Linked DNA regions of Elephas maximus indicus. The protein of the gene in region 1 purifies or fractionates together with the protein of each later gene. This does not show direct contact. Links are inferred from orthologs where the notes say so. Each region holds a gene or a part of one and is shown in the gene's direction. Other genes may lie near its edges.

What was found. The genes of interacting proteins can lie anywhere in the genome.
Region 2: the proteins of EZH1 (region 1) and PHF1 purify together in Homo sapiens (affinity purification with mass spectrometry; 5 studies listed by BioGRID and IntAct, with this or other methods). This does not show direct contact. The link is inferred for Elephas maximus indicus from reciprocal best matches to the Homo sapiens genes EZH1 and PHF1.

What each region holds. Positions count from the first base shown.
Region 1 is NC_064837.1:49,590,292-49,594,034, reverse strand, and holds the start of EZH1 (histone-lysine N-methyltransferase EZH1), read left to right. Parts: upstream 1-977; 5' UTR 978-1,061; intron 1,062-3,743.
Region 2 is NC_064819.1:96,235,367-96,239,109, forward strand, and holds the start of PHF1 (PHD finger protein 1), read left to right. Parts: upstream 1-776; 5' UTR 777-1,297; intron 1,298-2,007; 5' UTR 2,008-2,025; coding exon 2,026-2,184; intron 2,185-2,274; coding exon 2,275-2,356; intron 2,357-2,467; coding exon 2,468-2,563; intron 2,564-3,006; coding exon 3,007-3,110; intron 3,111-3,237; coding exon 3,238-3,386; intron 3,387-3,568; coding exon 3,569-3,664; intron 3,665-3,743. UniProt on the Homo sapiens protein: Polycomb group (PcG) that specifically binds histone H3 trimethylated at 'Lys-36' (H3K36me3) and recruits the PRC2 complex. Involved in DNA damage response and is recruited at double-strand breaks (DSBs).

The sequences.
Region 1 (3,743 bases):
GATGTATCTATGGAGCTTCCATGACCTTGCCTTGTACAAGTTGTTCTGGTATCCCCAGTATTGTGTACTGTCTTACCCTTCACCAAAGTTACCTCTTGATAAGATACTATTAACTAGTTCACAGACCTTATTCTAATATCAACAATTTTCCCACTACTGTTCTTTTTCTGGGCCAGGGTTCAATCCAGGGTCACAAATTACCTTTTGTTGTCATGTCTCCTTAGTCTCCCTCAATCTGGGACAGTCTCTTGTCCTTTCTTTCTTTCATGACCTTGTCACTTTTGAACAGTGCTGGTCAGTTGTTTTGTAGATTACTCCTCAATTTGAGTTTGAGTGTTTCCTCATGATTAAAGTCAGGTTATGCATTTTTGGCAAGAACACTACAGAAGTGATTTTGTACCCTTCTCAGTGCTTCATACTGGAAGGTACCTGATAAGAATAAGTCTCAACATTGGTAATGTTAACTTTGATCATTTAGTTAAGGTGGTGTCTGCTAGGTTTCTCCCCTGTAAAGTTACTATTTTTTTCTCCTTTTTAACTAATAGGGATCTTGTAAGGAGATAATTTGATATAATACTAAATTTTTAAATTTAGGTGACTGGGAAAACTATTTGCATAAATAGGTAAGTCAGGTGTAAACAAAGCAACAGGGTAGTTTAGAGCTTATAGAGTAACTTAGAACTTCATAGGTAGGTGTGAAGCGGTCAGTACGAAGAGGCTCCAGGTTGGCTTCAAATGTCGAAGTGAGACATAGCTGTCACCAAAGTGTGGGGATGGTGGAACCCTTGGATAAGGTCAAGACTCAGAAAGAGATCCACAGAGCCCTTCCTCTGCCTGACAGGGCCGCCTTGGAAATCGTAGCGCTCGCGCCGCACCACCCTGGGTTCCGGACTCCCGACTACTGGCGCCAAAGGGCAAACTTGCGAAGGAAACCCTGGCGGCCGGGTCGCCGGCCCAACGCGCACGCGCCGGGAGGAGGCGTGAGGCGGGGCCGCGGCGCGGGGGCGGGGCCGAGGCGCGCAGGCGCGCTGGCGGCGGGTCCCTGCGGCTCAGGATGGAGGGTGAGTGAGTAAACAAGCCGGGACCGGGCGGTGGGGCCGGGCCTCCCCGCTTCGTCGCCCCCAGCCTGAGGCGGGGAGAGGCGAAGGGATCGGGGAATTGGGAAGAAGCGGAGAGATACACTGCCTGCCTAGGCGGGGTGCCGGGGCGCCCCCTCCCCGCTCCGAGGGCTGCGGGAAAAGGGGCGATGGGATGAGGGAGCCCCAGGCGAGGAGGCGTCTGAGGCGGGGAGGGTGGCGTGTCCGGGAGGAGGAGCGGCGGGGGCGGGCCCGGGACGGGGAATCCCGTTGGAGGGCCGGGTGGGCCGGGTGGGCGGGAGTCCCAGCTCGGAGCCGGCGCGGGTGGGCGGGGGCGCCTGCGGGGCCCTTAGCGCGGGGTCGTCTCCTGGGGACCTGGGGCTGTGCACGACGAGGGCCAGTGACAGGGGTTCAGCTTGCGATGGCTTTGGGGGGTCATGGCAGTAAAAGGAAGGGGTGGCAGTAATAGCAGGACCATGAGTAGGATGAGGAGTGAGGCGCCTAAGGCGCAGGATTAAGGGGCGCTCACTCTCAGGGTCGTGCAAGTGCAGGGTGAGTGCCTGAGAACGCCCCACTTGCTTCACCCTTGTCCCAGCCTGGAGGAAGAGGCTGCCTCCCCCTCGAATGATCACATTCGTCAATCCCTGCCCACCCCCGGGGTTTTTCTAAGGATCAAATGATAAGTGAAAGCTCCTTGAAGCAAAGGCAAAGTGTATTTGTGACGTGCCAGTTAGGAAATGTGGGACAAATTTTTATTGTGGTAAAAAGTTACTACTGAGGAATTGCCCCGGGGGCAGCGAGGGGAAGTGGTACAAGGATGTTAATGTCGCTGGTGGAATACTGTGGGTGGTCTTTTGAAAGGTGAAATATAAGATTGTAACTGGAGTAGCCTGGGTATTTTTGTTTAGCAGCTAGAGGGGTTGAGGATGAGGGTAAAGAGCCTAAGTAGACAAACGGTTGTAAGCAAGGATGGCGTTGAAAGTGAGTGTCTTCCTCCACGTTTGCTGCCATGTCTTTGAAGAGAAAAATCCTCTCACCCCGTGCTTTTGAGCTAAGGGAGGCGGTATTCAATGAAGTTTCCAGCCTGAAAATTTGCTAACTCGACCAGGGGTTTCTGAGAGAGCTTGTCTATTTTAAGCTTTGGAATCCCCCAGGGCTGGGATGGTGTGACATTGATACAAGAGATTACTTAGTTACACAGAAGAATGTGTGCTGTGAAATCCACTTTTTTTTTTTTTTACACATTTGTAATAGAGGAAAAGACCATCTATAAAAAGTAATAAAGCTGTTATTGTTAGAGTTTATGCAGAGTGGGCGTATCACAGTGTGAATTAACTCCCTGAGGGCAGGGGTGTTTGTTTTATTCACTGATATGCCCCAAGCACCTAAGACAGTGCCAGGCACATACTAGGTACTCAGTACATATTTTTGAATGAATAAATAGTAGAAAGTTTGGCGGGGGGGGGGGGGGGTGGTGGGAACGGAGGCACCAGGGGACTGAGACTGGGAGCTAGGAGATTTGGACCCTGCCTGTTGCTATATGGCAGAGCTGTTGTAGGCCAGTCATGAAACTTGATGCTAAGGCATGGCTTCAAAACTCCCTGAAGTGTAAATGACCTCTTTGATGTAATGACTACTTTAGTGTCCATTAAAACAGTGCTAGAATAAAGGAGTCTGGAATTAAAAATGAAATTTTATCCTCTAGAAGACTTTTGAGAAAGGGAAAGTTAAGAAAATGTAGTCAAACTTATTTCTCTTATACTTGTCTTTGAATTGGCATGCTTAAAAAAATATATCGAAAATGTTAATTCTGTCTATTTAATTCTTGGGATCTGAAACCTGGGCTTCTTAGTCCTGTGGGCAACAGTTGGTTCCAGTGATTTGTGCATAATATGAAACATGTAACAATTCATTTAGTTGTTCCGCCCCCTCTTCCCCCTCCCTCAGTCTTAGACTAAGTTTAAAAGTTTCTTTCTACTTAGTTCACTAGCAACTTCCCAAAAAAAGGTTTGAGGCAGCAACATTAAAAACACATTATATTTCTACATGGGAAAGTTAACTAAAGATAAACAAACAAACAAACAAAAACCAAACCCAGTGCCATGGAGTCGATTCCGACTCATAGCGACCCTAAGAGAAGAAAAAAACAAAAACCTCTATTCCAGAAAGCTTCCAATGCTTTTCTTTCTTCTTTGTTCAAACTAGGTATTGGGTTCCTAACTATCTCTTTATAACTTGATCAGCAGTTGGGACTTCAGTGCCCCAAATCTTAATGTCAGGAGTTACTTAATGGGTAGTTGGAGTTTTGGTGGCATACTAGTTAAGACCAAAAGGTCGGCAGTTCAACTCCACCAGGTGCTCCTTGTAAATCCTGTGGGACAGTTTTACTGTGTCCTATGGGGTGGCTATCAGTTGGAATTGACTTGATGGCAATTTTTTTTTTTTTTGATGTTTGATGTGTTCTGTTCTCTGATACACATGCCCTAATACTTTGATTCAAAATGAACACATTAAAAAGTCTTGTTTTTATTGGATGATAATGAGCAGTCACTGAATATTAAGCTTTGTGCTGGTGCAGTACAGAACCAGTCAAGGAGATTGCTTTGTTAACTAACTCTTCTGAATCAGCATTGTCCATCCTACATGGCAGCGTTTTCCTTTTGGTCT
Region 2 (3,743 bases), on another chromosome or scaffold:
GTGGATCTGTCCACTCTGCCAAGTGTGTGTGTCTTGTGGGGTGAGGGCTGCAGTTTTTCTCTCGGACAGGTCTCCCGCTGGAGTCTGAAGGGGACCTTCAGTTCTTTGTGGTTCTGTACCCTGGTCTGGCCCATCTCTCTCTCACCTAACGTCCCCTCCCCCATCATAAATATCAAGGAGGTGCGCCTACTAGCTACCCCACAGCCCCGTCATGGTCACCCCCACCGTTTCACCCACACCATCAGCTACCCCAACCCCTGGGAGAAAAACTCCTTTGGTGGATGTGGGAACAGGAATCGAGGGGCGGGGACTAGGCGTGCACTGGGCAAACTGCTGGCTCTTCCCGCCCTTTCCCTGCCTTCCTGTTCGAATCGCCAGGGTTCTGCCCTGTGCCCGTTCATTGGCTGACTCTCCGTGACGTCACTGGTATTATCTCTCCTCGTCCTTGCACTAGCCCTCAAAGCCCGGGGCGGGACATACAGGGGAAGCGGGAGCGCGCGCCCGCCGAATCCCTCGCGCCAACAGCCAACGGCCACCGCCCCGTAAAGGAGGGGCTCAGTCTTCCCAGGTGCCGCACGCGGGAGGGGCCACGCGTGCGCAGAAGCGCGGCGGGGGGGGGACAACTTGCCTTGGAGAGGGCGGGGCCGAGGGCTACGGCGAGAGGAGGGCGGGGCACTCAAGGGGGAGGGCGTGGCGAGGGCAAGGGGAAGGGTGAGTGGTGGGCGGGGCCATGACTAGGGTCAGAGGGGCGGGACTTTGAGTGACCATGTCCGGGGGGGGGACAGTTAATGGATGTGGCATGGGGCCTGGCGCCAGACCCGAGGCAGACTGCCGGGAGGGGGGATTCCCTCCTGCCCCGAGGGCGGGTCTCCCGTCAGAGGAAGGGGCTGTGGGGATTCCCTCTCCCTCCGGGTCCGACTGTCCGCCCGACCCAGCTGCGAAGGGGTCGCCATGCGTTCAGCGCCCTCCAGGCTTGCTAGAGGTGAGGGAGGTGGGGTGAGGTGGTGCCCGCCCCCCCGGCTCCTCCTTCCCCCCGGCCCTCCCCTCCCACCACCCTCCCCCTAGTCGGTCCGTCCCTCCCCTCCTTCCCCCCGCCGCCTCCTCCTGCCGCTGCCGCTGCTTTGGCTGCTGCGTCATACGCCCCAGAGCTGCCGGGACGGAGGGGCTGGGCCTGGGGACCCCCCGGCCTTTGCCTGCACGCCCTCCGACGCCCGGACGTGCCCTCCCCGCGCGAGGGGCTCGCCTTGATCTCCCACGGCTGCTCCTGCCCGGCTCCCGGCGGCCCCAGCTGTCACCGGTAAAGAGGCGGCGAGAGGCGCCGGTGGGGGGCAGGGAGCCGGGGGTCGGCGCGCAGGGCGCGGGCGGGAGAGCCCACACCGCCTGGGTATCGGGTTGGCCAGGCCGACTCAAGTCCTCTCTCGGACTCGCCGGTCGTGGGGAGTAGAGACCGGGATGGGACACGCCCCCTCTGGGGGCACTCAGGGAAGTTATCTAACCCGGGGGCAGGGAGCCCCGAATTTGAGAGTGACCTGACATAACCCGGCACCAGAGTGATTGTTCTGAATGAGACACGAGGGCCTGGGGAGGCAACCGTTTCTGAGAAGCTCTGAAAAACATCTCGAGGAAAGCTCCCCAAAAACATTTCTGGACAACAGAGCACCCCAATTATGACACCTCTAAACAGCATGGGGAAGGTGACAGTAACTGAATAATCTTTGCGTCTGCGACCATCGTTTCCCCTAAAATTTTAAGGCCAGGGTATAATATCCCAGGGGAGCTCTAAAAACTGGGCAACTAGTGAATGAGGTTGTGGAGTGAGGAGAGGTGTTAGGGAGAGGAGAGCAAGGCACCAGAGTTGAGAGGGCTGGAGTCAGGAAGCTGGTGCCCCAGGTGTCTCAGGGATTTAAACTTGAGGGCGAAGCTGCTTGAACTCAGGACAGAAAAATAGGCAAAAATGGGTAAGGATTCTCAGCATTCATAACCTTCTCCTGTCCTATTCCTGGCTAGCCCCCCCCCCAGGATGCAATGGCGCAGCCCCCCCGGCTGAGCCGCTCTGGTGCCTCCTCGCTTTGGGACCCAGCTTCCCCTGCTCCCACCTCAGGCACCAGACCTCGACTCTGGGAGGGTCAAGATGTGTTGGCCAGATGGACTGATGGGCTGCTATACTTGGGGACCATCAAGAAGGTAAGAGTTTTGATCTCTGAGCTGTCACCTTCTTTCCATTCCCCTTATATTTTCTGGCTCCCATTTTATCCTCTGTGCTCACCTTTCCAGGTGGACAGTGCTCGGGAAGTGTGTCTGGTCCAATTTGAGGATGATTCCCAGTTTCTGGTTTTATGGAAAGACATTAGCCCTGGTGAGACCTTAGAGGCCTGAGAGTGTGCATCCCATGGAAACAGAAACCTGGTTTGGGTGGGTGGGCAGGAGGAGGCTTAGGCTGGCCCCCTGACACTGTGTTCCCTCACAGCTGCCCTCCCTGGGGAGGAACTCCTCTGCTGTGTTTGTCGCTCTGAGACTGTGGTCCCTGGGAACAGGCTGGTCAGCTGTGAGAAGTGTCGCCATGGTGAGAAGGCTGGTCCAGCTTGCCATGAGCCTTCCAGGCTGCCTTTCGCCCTTTCTCCTATACCCATCCTTATGCTACCTGTCCAGTCTGAGTCCCCAGGTCACTTCAGTCCCCGGGTCACTACTCTGACCAGTCTCCTCAACCCTGTAACCTTCCCCTGTTCCAACCCAGGGAGAGGCAGCCATGGAATGGGGGATGGTGTGGACTTTGCAGGTAGAAGGTGGTTTAAGTACACTCTCTTCTACAGTCATATGACCTTGGACAAGTCCCTTAACCTCTAGGAGCCTCAGTTCCCTCACCTGTAAAATAAGGATAATAACTACCCCTCCCCTCCAGCAGGACCACAGACAAAGATTGAAATGGATAAGACTAATCCTATCCAGGTGCCTAACACAGGTCTGCACTATAATAAGTGGTCTATTGTCAACATTATCATTATTCAGCTTATCACCAGGACTGCCACGTTCCGAGGGCGCCAGCCCCTGGAGAGGGAGAGGGTCCATCTCCCTGGGTCTGCCGCCAGTGTGTCTTTGCCATTGCCACCAAGGTAAAGGTACCTCCCTGTTACCCCTACTGAACTGGCCCTTTCTGTGGGAACTCCCCCATCCACAGACTCTCCCACGCCTCTCCTCTCCCCACCGGTCTGAGACCTCCTGCCTGTTCTGTCTCTGCAGAGGGGGGGTGCCCTGAAGAAGGGGCCCTATGCCCGGGCCATGCTGGGCATGAAGCTCTCTCTGCCATATGGACTAAAGGGACTAGACTGGGATGCTGGACATCAGAGCAATCGGCAGCAGAGCTACTGTTATTGTGGCGGCCCTGGGGAGTGAGTAATGAGGGGTAGGGGCCTAAGGAATGACTGACAAAGGGGAGGGCATCCCAGGGAATGTAGTAGAAAGAATGGGGGAGGGGAGTGCTGAAGGGAATGGGAGTAGGTGACAAACAGGGTTTGAGACGGTTATGGTGGGGGGGGGTGTCTGGAGGACACTAGTCTTTTGTTCCCTTCAGGTGGAACCTGAAAATGCTGCAGTGCCGGAGCTGCCTGCAGTGGTTCCATGAGGCCTGTACCCAGTGTCTGAGCAAGCCCCTCCTCTATGGCGACAGGTGAGACCAGGGAAGACCCTCCAGGAACTGCGGGAGACTTCCTTGCTTTGTGTTCCCTCATGCCTTTCTCTCCTCCAGT